Rhinolophus ferrumequinum: one gene and its partner. The protein of the gene in region 1 binds, or shares a complex with, the protein of each later gene. Links are inferred from orthologs where the notes say so. Each region holds a gene or a part of one and is shown on either strand. Other genes may lie near its edges.

Region 1 (7,607 bases):
TGGTGTCTGCAGGGTTAAAGGTCTGCTTGTTCGGCCGGAGACCTGAAGAAAAAGGTAGGTGAGGACCCTGAGGTATGCCTCTGGCCCTGGACTGAACCTAGCAGCAGGAAGACTAGTCTGAGTACCAGGGCTTGCAGGTCTGACGTCAGCAGCCTCTAGGCTCCCTGGCAGCCCAGAGGAAGAGCCAGAGGACCCTCACGACTAGCTCAGGATTCTCCATTTTCATTTTGCCCATTTCCTCCACCTGCTCCAGGGCTGGTCTTAAATACAAAAGGCTAACAGAATGGATGTAACCCTTTCCTGAGCAGTTCATTCTTACATCTTTCTTACCAAAACCACTATTCCTATAACACTGATCTTATCCTTCTTTCCTTCTCCACTTTGCCACTGATCCCTCCGTACCTCCACTCTCTGATTCTCGTTCCTCTTTGCTGATTTTCTCTAGAAGGTTTGAGCACATTTTATTCAAGCTCTGGATCTGCTTCTGTAACACACATAAATTGGTTCAGAGATTAGGGCAAGCAAGAAATTATGCGGGGAAGTTTTTTCCTTGTGCTCTTCTAGGGGCAACTTACGTGTAACAACTATACATCCCTACCAGACAGCAATGGTAATGCCTAGCTTCTCATGATGGGACTTGGGGAATGGGGGCAGCAGGACAGTGACTCAGTCCAACCTGAGCTGCATCAGCACCAATGCGGGCAGCATCTGTTGTCAGTTGCTTCTCTTGCTCTTCAACCTCAGGGTCAGGCTTGGTTCTCAGATGGTCGGGGACCACCTCATGGCTGAAAACAGGCACTCGTCCTTCAGTCTGCCGCTGTAAAACACAGATTTTATTGATCCTTCTATGCACTCCAAGAAGATTCAGTTTGGCCTGATATATAGTTCTTGCCACAGGCAAACAGTGCATTTTCAGGGAAAACACAGCTTAAGACTTACAATATTTAGCTTCCTAGGAGACCAAAATTCAGCCGACACTTTTTATTGCCACACGCTTTTTATTGCCACACACTACACCACATTCAGAACTTCCAGAATAACCAACCAACAATTGTGCTCTAGGTCATCAAAGAATTTAATTTCCCAAGTTGCACCCTTCTCCTCCTCTTACCATGAGATCTTCATCACGGTCTGGGGACAACACCAGTGGAATGATGACCTGGTTACGGAACAGTGGTGTCTTTTCATGCTTCAAGACCTTGTTCAGAGTGTTCAACTGTCCAGACAGCAAGGCAAAGCTGTCCAGGACAGAGGGCCTGGTGGTGGTAAGAAGATGTCAGAATGTTCCAAGTAGCCTCGAAGGGGGTCTTTCAGATTAGGAATACTTGGACTTACCCCAAAAAGACAGCCCATGGCTGGACTGGGTGGGAACCAGACTGGCTTACAGGGATTGTGGGGTTAGGAAAGAGGGACACGCTTTCAGTTTCTGACACAGATGGAGAAAAAAGGCAGCTCATTATTTGAATGGGGTGAGGAACAGTGGTAAAATAGGAACCATGGCTACACTGTTACCACTGAAAATTCAGAAACTGAGTAAAAGCCTCCTTTCTGGCCTGGAAATAGGATCCATACTTCCAGAATAGGTTGTACCTAAAAGACTCAGCAACATCTGTGGTAGAAGATCCAGTATGACCACTGTATGCCTACTGCAGTGGGAGGACACACTAAGGGAGGACCTCTTCCCAGAGAAGTCAAAGGGCGAGAATCAAAAGCTAGGAAGAACCTAGGTTGGGAAACTGGGCATTTCTCTACTTCCTTGCCATGGAGGCCCTAAGCTAAACTTCATTTGTTAAATGTTGGGAAAGCCAGCTCTTTCCAAATCAAAAGATGTTTGCAAATTGATAAATGGTTACATCATTGGAGATATCCCATCCACCAGGAGGCCTGCCCTGCCACCCATGGAGTCCTCCCCAGATTGCCCTGGCAACCCTTACCAGGTCAGCCGGTCATACTCGTTCTCCAGCTTGTAAATGAAACTCCCCAGTGAGTTCTTTAGATCGGCTACTTGACTCAGCAGTGCATCTAATGATGCCTCAAGCTGCTTCTCCTCTCTCTGCACCAATAGGAACACGTTGGTTATCCAAATGGGTGTAAATATGACACATACAGAAGAAGGCTGGAAAGCCAGGGTGACAGTGTGCAACACTAGTCAAGTGACATAAGATCTCACTGGCATACGAGAGCCACGTCGTTTTCTATCTTTGGTATTTGGGTTACAGAGAGCATCAACCTTTAGACCTTTCAACCCATTCACCTGACCTCAATTCCTCCTACCAACTGATTCTTTCTCTCATCACGTCCTAATCCATGCCTGTCTTTTCTCTGGATTAGGTACACTCTATTGTCTCTCGTTGAGAAATTTTCACCAGACCTAATACCTGGGTTTATTATCTTTTGTGTACCTCTGCAGCATATGTACTCCTCTGTCCTAGAACCTGCCTTGTGAGCCTGGCTGTTCTTGTCAATGGCACACAATCTCTGGGAAATCTACCTACACATGAAAGTTTCTCAGAATAGGGCCTTGCACCACACACACACACACACACTCTCTCTCTCTCTCTCTCTCTCTCTCACTCTTCATTTGCCCTCAGCATTTGATGTTTCAACCTCCTCCTTGCGAAATTAATCTGCACTCACTTTACCTCTGTGCCAGTATTCTTGTGCCCCTTTCACCAACTTAGTCAACCTATAAACACTTACTGACCAACTACCAGGCGTGAGAAACTAAATGACAAATGACAGACAAAAAAATGCATACGTCCTAAGCACTAAACAATTGTAAATGCTGGGGTGTCTGCAAAGCAATTCCTTTCCATCTATGGTCTCCAGTTTTACTTCATTTCTTCACCCTTGACTACAGGCACAGGCTGGGAAAGCGTCTTGCAAACACGCCAGCCAATGTGTAGGGCAGGAGCCTTGATCCTGGATTCTACCCACGGCCTCAGATTCATTAACTTGGCTTTTGGCCCCCGCGGCACCACATTTCCGTCACCCCTCGGGCTTCTCTCCAATTACAGATGCCCTCTTATGTCTGCATCCAGCAGCGTCCAACAGCCTAGGCCGGGTCCTGAGCCAACCGGCCACTTTCTTAAGCTATCTTCCTTGGGTTGAATCTCAACCTTCCCCAATTACAACCTGATCCTTCCCCACCCCCCAGCAAGTCAGTGCTGCCTTCTCCCTCTCGACTTAGCCGCAGTCTCTGTCTCCTGTCAGCGGGGCTCCCACCCCATCTCTCAGCTCCGCCTCTCCCTGTCCAGTAGGCCTCGTCCCTCACCCCACTTTCCCCATCCATCAGCCGCGGGCTCTGCCCCTTCCTCTCAGCCCCAACTGCATCTCTCTTCGGCTGGCTCACTCTCGGCCCCGTTACTCGAAGTTAGCTGGCGATCCATAGTCCCGACCGGGCTCTCACCTGCATAGCGGCAGCAGTAGCGGCCGCAACGACCTCCTCTACCGGTTTCCAAGTCGCGAGTCACTCTGACAGGGCTTCGTCCACCAATCAGAGAGCTCAGAACGCGGCCCGCCCGTTCACTTCCGGCTACTGCGGGGTGCGAGGTAGCCGGGTCAGGGGTCACGAGTGGAACATCTTCTCTGGCCTGGGCCGGCGCGGGAGGGCTGTGTGATGGCCTCGGAGCGCCCGGAGCCGGAGGTGAGGGGCGGGCGGGCGCAGCGCTGGTTCCCGAGATCCGAGGGGGAGGGTACGGCGGCCGCGCGCTGCCGTGGCCTCCTCCGGGTCTGGGGGCGACCTGGACGTGTCGTCTGGGCCGGGGACCGGCCCAGCTTCTAAGGCCCGACAATTGAACCTCCTCGTGGTCCGCAGTTTCTTCGGGGGGTTTGAGGAAAAACTCGTCGCTTTGTTTTGTTTACTGAAACTTCATCCACGTCGCCGACTCTAGGGCTGTCGGGTTCTTTGACCTAATAATAATGATATTAACAAAAACTGTATTTTGATTTTTCTGTTGCAGTTTCAGCGGGCAACAGGGCAATATATACTTGGCCGGTTTCTGCATTTCTCCAAACATTGTAATCCCATAAACAGCATGAATTAATTTAGTTCTAGCGCTCATGCTGTGGGAAAGCAGCTTTGGTTTCCTGAAAAATTTTTGACCCAGAGTGAAACCTCGTTCCAATATTGGCGCTGCTATTTAGCTATCTGTGCAACTTGGGCAAGCCTTGACTTCCCAGATCCTGTTTCCTTCTTCATAAAATACCTGTCTTACGGTGCGTTGTGAGGATCGCATGTGTTAAACCAGAAAACGCATGTGACTTATCCATCAGGTGCTAAGGACCACGCAAGGAATTTCATATACATTGTGTTATTCGTACTTGTGCAAGGAAGGTGGCAGTAGCATTTCTCATTTACAGATAAGGAAACTGAAAAGTGAAAGAGGTTAAGTACCTTACCTAAGTGCTACTCAGCTGGGGAGTAGCAGAGTTTTGGAGTTGGAAGTTCTGAGCATAATATCCCTGAGATTTGGAAGGAACAACATCACTAGGAGAGGTGTCCAGTATTACAAGAGAATATGTGAATAGGTGGGAAGGGTGAGGGATGTATATAATGACACAACTAGTAGTTATTACTTATTGAATGCTTACAGCGTACCAAGTACCATTCTAAGCACTTCACCAATACCAACTAATGTGCTCAACCCTATGAAGTAGGCACGATTATCATCCCCATTTTTCAGGTGTGGAAACTGAGGCACACAGAGATTCAGAGCAATAAAGATACAGCTAGTAAGTAGTAGAGCCAGGACTCCAAAACGGGGAGGCCTGGCTCCAGACCTTGTGTTCTTAACCATAATGTTTGTAATGTAAATAAGAAAGTAAGTGTGGGATAGTAAACCTCCAGTTCATTGGGATTTGATATGACGAGGCCCAAGATAAAGTAAGAAACTATGCCTTATTTAAAACAGGGATGGTAGAATAGCCCATGCATCAGAAATATCAGTATTGAAAAAAACCATTTGGAGTTATGTTTTGCTATGGATTCAAATGGGGGAAATACAGGTATTTTGCGGGGAAATAAAACATGCCTTATAGGCAGATAGTCTAAAACAGCACTACCCAATAGAAGTTGAATGTGTGCCATATATGTAAATTTTCTAGTAGCCACATTCAAAAAGATAAAAAGAAATAGGTGAAGATTTTAGTAATGCATTCATTTAACCCCGTATTTCCAAAATATTACAATTTCAACATGTAGTAAATATTTTAAAATTATAAGACATTTAACATTCTTTGTTTTGTATCATGTCTTTAAAATCCAGTAGGTATTTTATATTGCAGCACATCTTATTTTAGACAAGCACCATTTCAGTCCTCAGTGGCCCCATGTGGTAGGGGATACCGAATACATTGAACATTACAGATCTAAAGTAACTTGGAGCCAAGACACATGCACCTGGGGGTCTCATTCAGGTAAAAGCTAAGCATTTCTTAATTTTTTGATTTGTATTTCTGAAAATTTTATGGCACAAGGTGAAGGGAGTAAAGAGTTCTTCTGCCCCTGGGCAGAAAAGTGACTGACTTTTAGAGTTTGTTACAATCTCAAGAGAGAAAGATTGGGCATAGTCAGATTTAAGAAATCATTCATTCATCAAATACTTAAAATATTTATGAGTGCTACTATGGACTCAGAATTGTGCTAATTATCAGGGAGGATGCGGAGCAGTGTAAGACTGACACCTTCCCTATTTTAAGGGAGTAAACAAACATCAAGTTATGATAAGTGCTGCAAAGGAAAAATACAGAGTGAATGAGTGTTTAACAGGGGCTCTTAACCTACTTTATTAAGAAGTGGTGGAGGCAGGGTGGATCAGGAAGCTGCTAGAGAGGAATGACATTTAAGCCTGAAGAATGAGTAGAAGTTGGCTATGAGAAGAGGCAGAGTGAGTAGTGTAAATCCTGAGATGAGAAGGAGCTTAGACCCTTTAGAGAACTGAGAGGAAGCAGCTTCTAGTATGGTTGCAGTGTGGCAATGAGAATAGCTAACACAGAGTGCTTACCAAATAATCATCTAATAGTCCTCAAATCCGCATGAAATGGATACTGTTAGTATCTTTATTTCACAGATGAGGAAACTAAGGCACAGAGAGTTTAAGTAACTTCACTAATAAGCAGCAGAACCAGTGTTTGCTCCTAGGGACTATACTTCAGGGGTAATGGGTGAGAGAGGCTGGAGAAGAAGGTTCAGGTTGAGGCCGTGCTAGAGTTTCAAGACTTTGGCATATGAATAGTGGTAAGGAGGCTTAAGACAGTTCAAGATGGAGAAATCTACATTATTTCGTGGGTCTCTGTTAACAGAAAGCAGCACAAGGGTTGGAAAAGCCTCAAAACATAATTTATACCTTAACCACAAAGGGACAGGTTCAAAAAATAACAAATAAATGAGATGGGGATGTTTCCGTGAGGCTGGAATACATGGTATGCAGCACAGCACCTGATGATGTTTTATTCATCTTGTTATAACTGGTATGTATGTAGGCCTCAGTAAATGACCCAAAGAATGATAGGCTTCCTCTATGATTGTTCTGACTCTCCTGTTTAATTGCAATAACATCCTTTTGAAGTAGACATCTGCATGTTATCAATAAAGAAACTGAGGCCTGGAAAACTTACGTAACTTGTCCAAACTCACCTAGATAGCAAGTAGTAGAACCACATTTGATTCCAGTTCTCTTAACTCCAAACCCTTGCTCTCTCTTTGCCAGACTACAAGAGTCATGTAGCTCAGACTCGGGGATTAAAGATTAGGGACTTGAAGCTCCCTATGAGTGTGGATGCTGTGAGAATACAACTAATTCAGGGATTCTCAAACATTAAAGTGGCAGAATCACTTGGGGAGTTTGTTAAATGCAGAGTCCTGAGCCCTCTCAACGCTAATTCAGTTTGTCTGGGGTGGTGCCCGGGAATCTGCATTTTAATAAGCACCCCAGGTAATTCTGATGCAGCTGGTCCTTAGAGCACACTTTGAAAAATACCATTCTAGCCGGTTAAATTAATTCTGAAGTCTAATGGTTTTGATAAATTACATCTTGAATGTGAAGATAACTTAGAGATGATGATTTGAAAACGTGGTTGTTGTTGTTGAAGCATCAGGTATAAGGGGGAATGTTGTGAGCAAGCTCGAGTTAGGCAAATGTTCCTAGTATCAAGAGAGTAGATTCTATAAGAACTGATTGATGAACTAGACTTCAGCGTGGCCTTGGATAGCCAGTCCATCATTCAAAATAACCTTTGAGATAAGATGGAGAAATGGAAGATGTACAGTTGTATAATTAAGCAGCCTACTAGCTAATAACCTGAAGAAAGTTTTCTAATAGCACAGTGCTCGTCTATAGCATCCAGCTGGTTTATCCCCCTTTTCCTCCTCACTTAGCACACCCTCCCTGCGCAACTGTCAGCGTTACTTTCTCCTAAGACTCTAGCCTAGATCATGTTACTTGGTTCCACACTATCATAGAACCACATTCTTATCCTTTGATGTGCGTACTCAGTTTGTAATAATACAATAATGAGAGTGATTACTTGATTAATATTTTTCTCCATGGGTGAAAATTTTGTGAGAGCAGAGAATGCCAATTTTGGCTTTCCGTTGTATCTTTAGA
Region 2 (6,509 bases), on another chromosome or scaffold:
CTAAATTCTTCTGGCTATTAAATCGACATGGGGCAGGTTAATAGGAGAAAATCAAGTTTAATTTCGTATGTACCGGGGCTCCTTAAGAATATGGGACTCACAGGCCAGTCAGGCAGTTGGGGCTTCTGACCTAAGGAGAAGGGGTGGGATCTGGGACTTCAGAGGGAAGGAAAGCAGTTCCCATAGAGATGGGAAAACAAATGTTTGCTGGGCCTTGCAGAGACAGTGGGACAGAGAGGACGTTGGTCTCCGAGCCCTGTGGATTCCCCCTGCCCACATTCCTTGTAGGTATCTCAAGTGATGATGCTCGTCCTGAATCAGGCCCTTTATCTAAGTTTTTTTAGGCCGTTACGAGGGAGGTTAAAAGCTCTTCCTGAGCTTGTAGGCCTCAGTTGTCTTCAGCTCCAAGTAATTCTCATTCCAGGGTAGCACATTCTGGGGAGACTCGTTATGAACCCCTACAGTGTCCCTGTGGTTATGGAATGAAGATGCTATCTTATATAATAACGAACCTCCTTAAGCCACTCAACTAACTTGAATGTTGTCAATCAACAGAAATGACCAGTGGCACTAAAGAAACAATTCTATGTATGATCTACATTGCGAAAGGCTCTTCCGTCGTAATTATGCTGGCAGTGTTCTTTGATACAATTTGGAACCTGATTAAAAAGTTGAAAATCCCAGCTGTGTTCAGAAAAGTTTTGCTCTGAGTTACTCTACCGAAAGGAAAATCTAGGCCTTGGCAAAGGATCCTTAAGGCATGGTGGTATGAAGCAGAGGGCCATCTTTTTTTTTTTCTCCCACAATAGAATTTTACGGTAATTTGTTTAATTATGACCATTAATGTAAGAGCTGCCTCAATAATTTCATTTGGATAATAAAAAATGATAGTATAATGATGGTTTAAAGCTGGTTCAATCACAATCTTACAAGCTTATTTATCAAGAGTGAAACTAGAAGACTGTTAAAAATAGCTGGAAAGATAATGTGTTATAGTGGTTAATGTTTCTGTAACTGTTGGTAAGGCTTACATCTAAATCTGATGTATAATTCTTAATGCCATTGAAATAGCTCTTTTCTCAGCCATGCGGTATACGCTGGTACTATGAGTCTGGCAGAGACTGGCTATGGGTACCGCGTCTTGTCTTCAGCTGTGACTGCGCAATATCAGCAAGTGCACTTTGTATCTTTTCCAGAAGCATGTCCCCTCGATAAACAACATCCTCCAGACATGTAGCCACTTCGTGATTTTCTTCTTCTAGCTTATACAAGCTAGCAGCCTGTAAAGCAGCTGTAGATTCTTCACTGGGCAAGGAATCTATCAAAACATCGATGTCTTTTGCTGTTCGTGCAATCAGTGCTGCAAAAAGCTGGGCATAGTCTTCTGTGGGATTAGCTGGCTGATCTTTGTTAATTGTTGTCTGAATATTACTAAAAGAGGCAGGAGGACCACACTGGGGCAACACTCCAATTGCATTACAAAACTGGTCTGCAGGCGAGTTCACCGCGTCCTGCAGCTGTGTAAGCCGCCATGTCCCTGCAAGCAAATGAGAGAGAGTCATCTTTTTAGGGAATGTCAAGACATAGAACATTTTCTAAAACTGGGGGTTAGTTTACCTTTGTATATGAACAAGGTGCCGTGCTGTGTAGTAGCCTGGACTTGGTGGGAAATGTAAACTGTCCTTTGAATTTGAACCATACCAATGATTGCCACGCCTTATTATTGTTTTTAGAAGATAATAGCAAGTTTCCAACTTGATTCTCCACAGTGACTGAAGCTGGCTTTGGTGCTGATATTGGTATGGAGAAATTCTTCAACATCAAGTGCCGAGCTTCTGGTTTAGTGCCCAACGTCGTCGTGCTGGTGGCAACAGTGCGAGCTCTGAAGATGCACGGGGGCGGGCCAAGCGTAAGTCCCTTCTTCCTTCCTAGTGAAACCAATTTGAAAGTTAAGATAAAGCAGAATTGAGCGTTTGAAACATTTTGAAACCTGCTTAATAACTCTAGTTTTCTAGAATGTCTCCTTTTTTACAAGTTACCATCATAGGGCACTTAGAGTTTAGGTAAGTTCCAGTAAATATTAACACCCACAAAGTTACTTGTATGCAGTATTTTGGAAAGGAGCATAATGTAAACACTATTTAGTCCTAAGATTCCTATCTGAGGCTGATGTCAGCATTTTCTAGCCCCACGGTCATGGGAGGATAGAGCTCTGGTTGCTGAATGGAGCGCATACGGATCAGAATGATTCCTCTCGTGGGTGAGGTTGTTCAGTGTTTGTACAGACGGTTTTTTGGTTCACTGATGCTACATCTCATCAGATTTCTTCTAGAACTATGTTCCTTCTGTTTCTGTTTATTATGATTTCACTTTATAACTGTTATAGGACTGGATTATTTCTCAGAGAGCTTTGCTTGGAAAACATAAATTCTATTGTAACGTTTTTTAAAGACATTTGATATGAACCTGTATTGTTATATACAGAAATTACACATACCTGAAAGGAAATTTTTTTCATTTCCGCGGTAAAGGTGTAGTATTTTATTTTTTCATTTTTAGGTATCTTCAAAGGGAGAATATGAAATATTATACCACTTCATTGTTTTTGAAATAATATAATTTGGAGTGGCTTTAACATTTACACTATTGCTACGTTAGACAAACTGCCAAATCTGATTTCTGAATTGGTGTACTGTGTTCACAGAAGTCACGTAATTGATGATTGTTACAAGAGCAAAACAAATCCGAGGTTTGCCATCCTGAAACCCCATAATATGCACTGTTTAATCATCTTAGTGATTGTTTGTCCTAGGAGGAGCAGGCATTATTTCATACCATTTTACAGACGAGGAAGTTGAGGTATGGTGGGGTTAAGGAATGTGGGTAATGTCGCCAGGCCAGCAGAGAGCCCGATCTGAAGCCCAGGACTAGATCCAAATCTCCTACTCTGTTCACTGTGCAAAGCTGCTTACTAATGAAGGCTAAACCTTTTCTGAGTCCTGAATGCATGTGTAATACCAGACACTTGTGCACTTCATTTTAGCCTCAAGCTTCATCATTATTTCAAATAGAAGGTTGACTTAACATACATTATAGGCAATAAATCCCAAAGAATTCTGAATTTGCTCAAAACACCACCTGTTGCTGCAATCACTCCTTGACTTTAAACTTTGACTCTATATACCAACTTCCCATTTTCAAAACACTGTTTCTGCCCATATAAGACGCATTTGAAATTCTCCCTCCCTATTTTGCACCCTGAAAATTATAAAATCAAAGTGCTTTAATACTGGAAAGGGTTTAGAGATCGTCTAGCGTGGTTCAGTCTGCATAGAAAGAAGATTACTGAGGTGAAAAAGGATTCAGTGGCTTGCTTAGTATCCCACATTTACTTGCAGGACTAATCAGATGTAAAATCAAGGTCTCTTGGCTTCTAGTCCAATGCTTTTCCACACTGTGATCTCCATCCTGTAAAAATTCCCTACATGATTTATAATCCTCTTTCAGTTCATCTTAATGTATGTGCTCTGTTTTCCAGCACTTGCATTTTCTGCTCGCCTTAATCTTCCACTTAAAGTTGTGGTTCCATGCCAGTGATGATTGTAACAGGGCTCAAGCTTCACGGGCACAGATAAAGGTGGTGCATAATAAAAGGGGGGGTCAGAAAGCTGGGAGAAGCTTGGCTCCCTCTCCTGGCCTCCAGTAGTGCCTTCTGCGTCATACTGTTTCACGATTGTCTATGTGTATGTCTCCCTCCTCAACCGTGAATCCCTTGAGATTAAGGACTATGTCTTACTAATTTGTGTACCCCTGGTGCCTGGCGTAGTCTGTATCCAGGAAATGTTTTCCATAATTGAATAGTAAATGAGCTTTCATCTTCTTAATCCTGTATTCTACATTATCCATCTCAGTGTCATTTCTCCTTACTGGAATCAGCTCTGTGGTAATGTTTTTGATCCATTACAATTTCTACTTCCTTTTAATATCATTGCACAAATAGCCATGGCTGCACTTTTGTTTATTCAGCTTGGTGGGGTTTTTTTTCTTCCCATAATTTGTACAGTGGAAAATCCTGTGACCCTTGAACTTGCCCATTTTAGCCCCAATCGTTTCAAATTCAAATCCTGTCTTCCAAAGTGCTAGACCACTCCTGGTGAGATATAAGAACTAATAATCTGTTATACTTTTGGATCCATGTATTCATTTTTCAGTTCATTCTTTAAACCCATTTTATTAACAAGGAATCTCCAGAACTAACAGGATGTTACATAAAAGTATTTAGTACAAGGAATTGGCTCATGCAGTTATGGAGGCGACAAGTCCAAAATCTACAGAGAGGGCCAGCAGGCTGGAAACTCAGGAGAGCCGATCAGTATTCCAGTTCCAGACCCAGTCTGGAGGCAGTCTGCTAGAGAATTTTCTCCTGCACAGTCTCTGTGTTCTAGTCAGACATTTCAACTGATTCCACGCGGCCCACCCACATTATGGGGTGGCAATCTGCCTTACTCAGAATCCACCAATGTAAATGTTATTCTCAACAAACACCCTCACGGAAACACCCAAAATAATGTTCTACCAAATATCTGGGCACTCCCTGCCCCAAGTTGACACACATAATTAACCATCACTCCCATTATTACTGCTTTTTGGTTGTTGTATTGCAATGACTAGATCAAATTTCATTGTTCCTGTATTAATAACCAGTTGGCCTAACACTGTTTATTTACATAGTCCCTCCTTCTTTCTGATCTTCAAGCCTACATTGTCATAAATCAATTCTTCGTTCCTGTGTACGTCTTTTTCTGAGACCTCCCTTCTGTTCCTCACTATTTACATATAATTGTGTCTGTGCTACACCGATAGCCTGTAGGGCAAGCCCTCCCACGTTGTTCTCTGTTTCATGCTTGCCTGGCCTATCCCTGGCCCTTTTCACTTCCATGTGTATTTTAGAATTAGCTCATAAAGTCCCTTAAGGAATTTCTTAGGATTTTTGTTGAAATGGCATTAAATCAATCGATCAATTTGATGAGTTGACAGGTTTCTATCTAAGAACGTGGGATATCTCTTCATTGATGTAGGTCTTTGTAACTGTATTTTAATAAAGATTTCGTTTATTCCATAAAAGACTTCCACATCCTTTTAGAGATTTGTTCTTGTGTACTTTATATTTTTCAATGATTCTAACAGGATTCTTATATATTGCTTTTATATATACAGTGACCTCTCTAAATTCTTTTTTTAAATTAAGGTATAATTGACACATTACTTTCAGGTGTACAACATCAAGATTTGATATGATCACAATAAGTCTAGTTAAGATTTGTCACCATACGTAGTTACAAAACTTTTTTTTCTTTCTTATAATGAGGGCTTTTAAGGTCAACTTTCAAGTTTGCAGCACAGTATTATGAATCATACTTACCTTGCTGTGTATCCCCGTGGCTTAAAAATTCTCTTATTAATTGTACTAATTTAGCTATAGATACTTGGGAGAGTTCTATGTGGGCTATCATATCTGAAAATAAGAACAGTTCTGTTTCTTTCTTTCCAATCTTCGTATTTTTTTTCTTGTCACCTATCAGGTCTTCTTGGATGCACTGTAGTAGTAAATAGGAATGGTGATAGAGGGCATCCTGATTTGAAAGAAAATGTTTTTAACGGTTCATTACTAAGTATGATGTTTTCTATAGATTTTTAGTATGTTTTTTTATCAGGTTAAGGAAATTGCCTTCTAAACCTAGTTTGCCAAGTTTTTGTAATAAATAGGTGATGAATAAGTTTCTTCATCTATTGAGAGGCTATTGCTTTTCTCTTTAATCTAGTAATGCTGCAGGTTATTACTGAACTTTCAAATATGAAATGAACCTTACATCCCTTTAATAAATCTAATTTGGGGATGTATTATCTTTTTTATGAATGACTGAATTTTACTTATTGGTTTCCTAATGTTTTAAGTAAGATCTTTGCATCTGTATTTAAGAGTGAAATGTTAGCCACATAAAATAAATTACAAAGGATTCCTTCTTTTTTATATACTCTAGAAGGGATTTTGTAACATTAGAATAATATATTTATTGAAAGATGAGAAGAATTGACCTGTAACACTGTCTGAGCCTGTTATTTAATGGTATGGGGTAGATTTTAAACTACAAATTTCATTTTTTAATGAATATATTATAGAACTGTTTAGGTTTTCTACTTCTTATATGAGCCTATTGAAAGTTACACCCCTATGAATTTATGTTTTTAAATGTATGACTGTAAAGTTGGTCATAGTATTCTATGAATTCTGCTTATAGCATATGTGGTTATAATATTGTTTTATTCCTTTTTTAGAAAAATCTTTCCAGAATGTTGTCAATTTTGTTAGTCTTTTTAAGAACCAACTTTTGGTTTAGTTGATACTCTTTGCTTCTTAGTTTTGCATGTATGCAAGCTCAGCAATACTTCACATTCTTTTTTTAATGTAGTATTTTAGTCATTCTAGTTGAAAAGTTCACTCTGTGTTT

Evidence for each region. Proteins that work in one complex are often made in the same cells at the same time.
Region 2: MED8 (region 1) and mediator of RNA polymerase II transcription subunit 21-like share a complex: the UniProt entries of both Homo sapiens proteins name them as parts of the mediator complex. The link is inferred for Rhinolophus ferrumequinum from reciprocal best matches to the Homo sapiens genes MED8 and MED21.

The regions. Positions count from the first base shown.
Region 1 is NC_046292.1:30,617,385-30,624,991, forward strand, and holds the start of MED8 (mediator of RNA polymerase II transcription subunit 8), read right to left. Parts: upstream 3,511-7,607; 5' UTR 3,416-3,510; coding exon 3,410-3,415; intron 2,054-3,409; coding exon 1,935-2,053; intron 1,257-1,934; coding exon 1,112-1,256; intron 818-1,111; coding exon 677-817; intron 485-676; coding exon 403-484; intron 43-402; coding exon 1-42. Other genes in the region: KICSTOR complex protein SZT2, read left to right, coding at 3,620-3,646. UniProt on the Homo sapiens protein: Component of the Mediator complex, a coactivator involved in the regulated transcription of nearly all RNA polymerase II-dependent genes.
Region 2 is NC_046286.1:94,042,787-94,049,295, forward strand, and holds mediator of RNA polymerase II transcription subunit 21-like, read right to left. Parts: upstream 1,563-6,509; coding exon 1,104-1,562; 3' UTR 1,055-1,103; downstream 1-1,054. Other genes in the region: MTHFD1L (monofunctional C1-tetrahydrofolate synthase, mitochondrial), read left to right, coding at 1,770-1,909. UniProt on the Homo sapiens protein: Component of the Mediator complex, a coactivator involved in the regulated transcription of nearly all RNA polymerase II-dependent genes.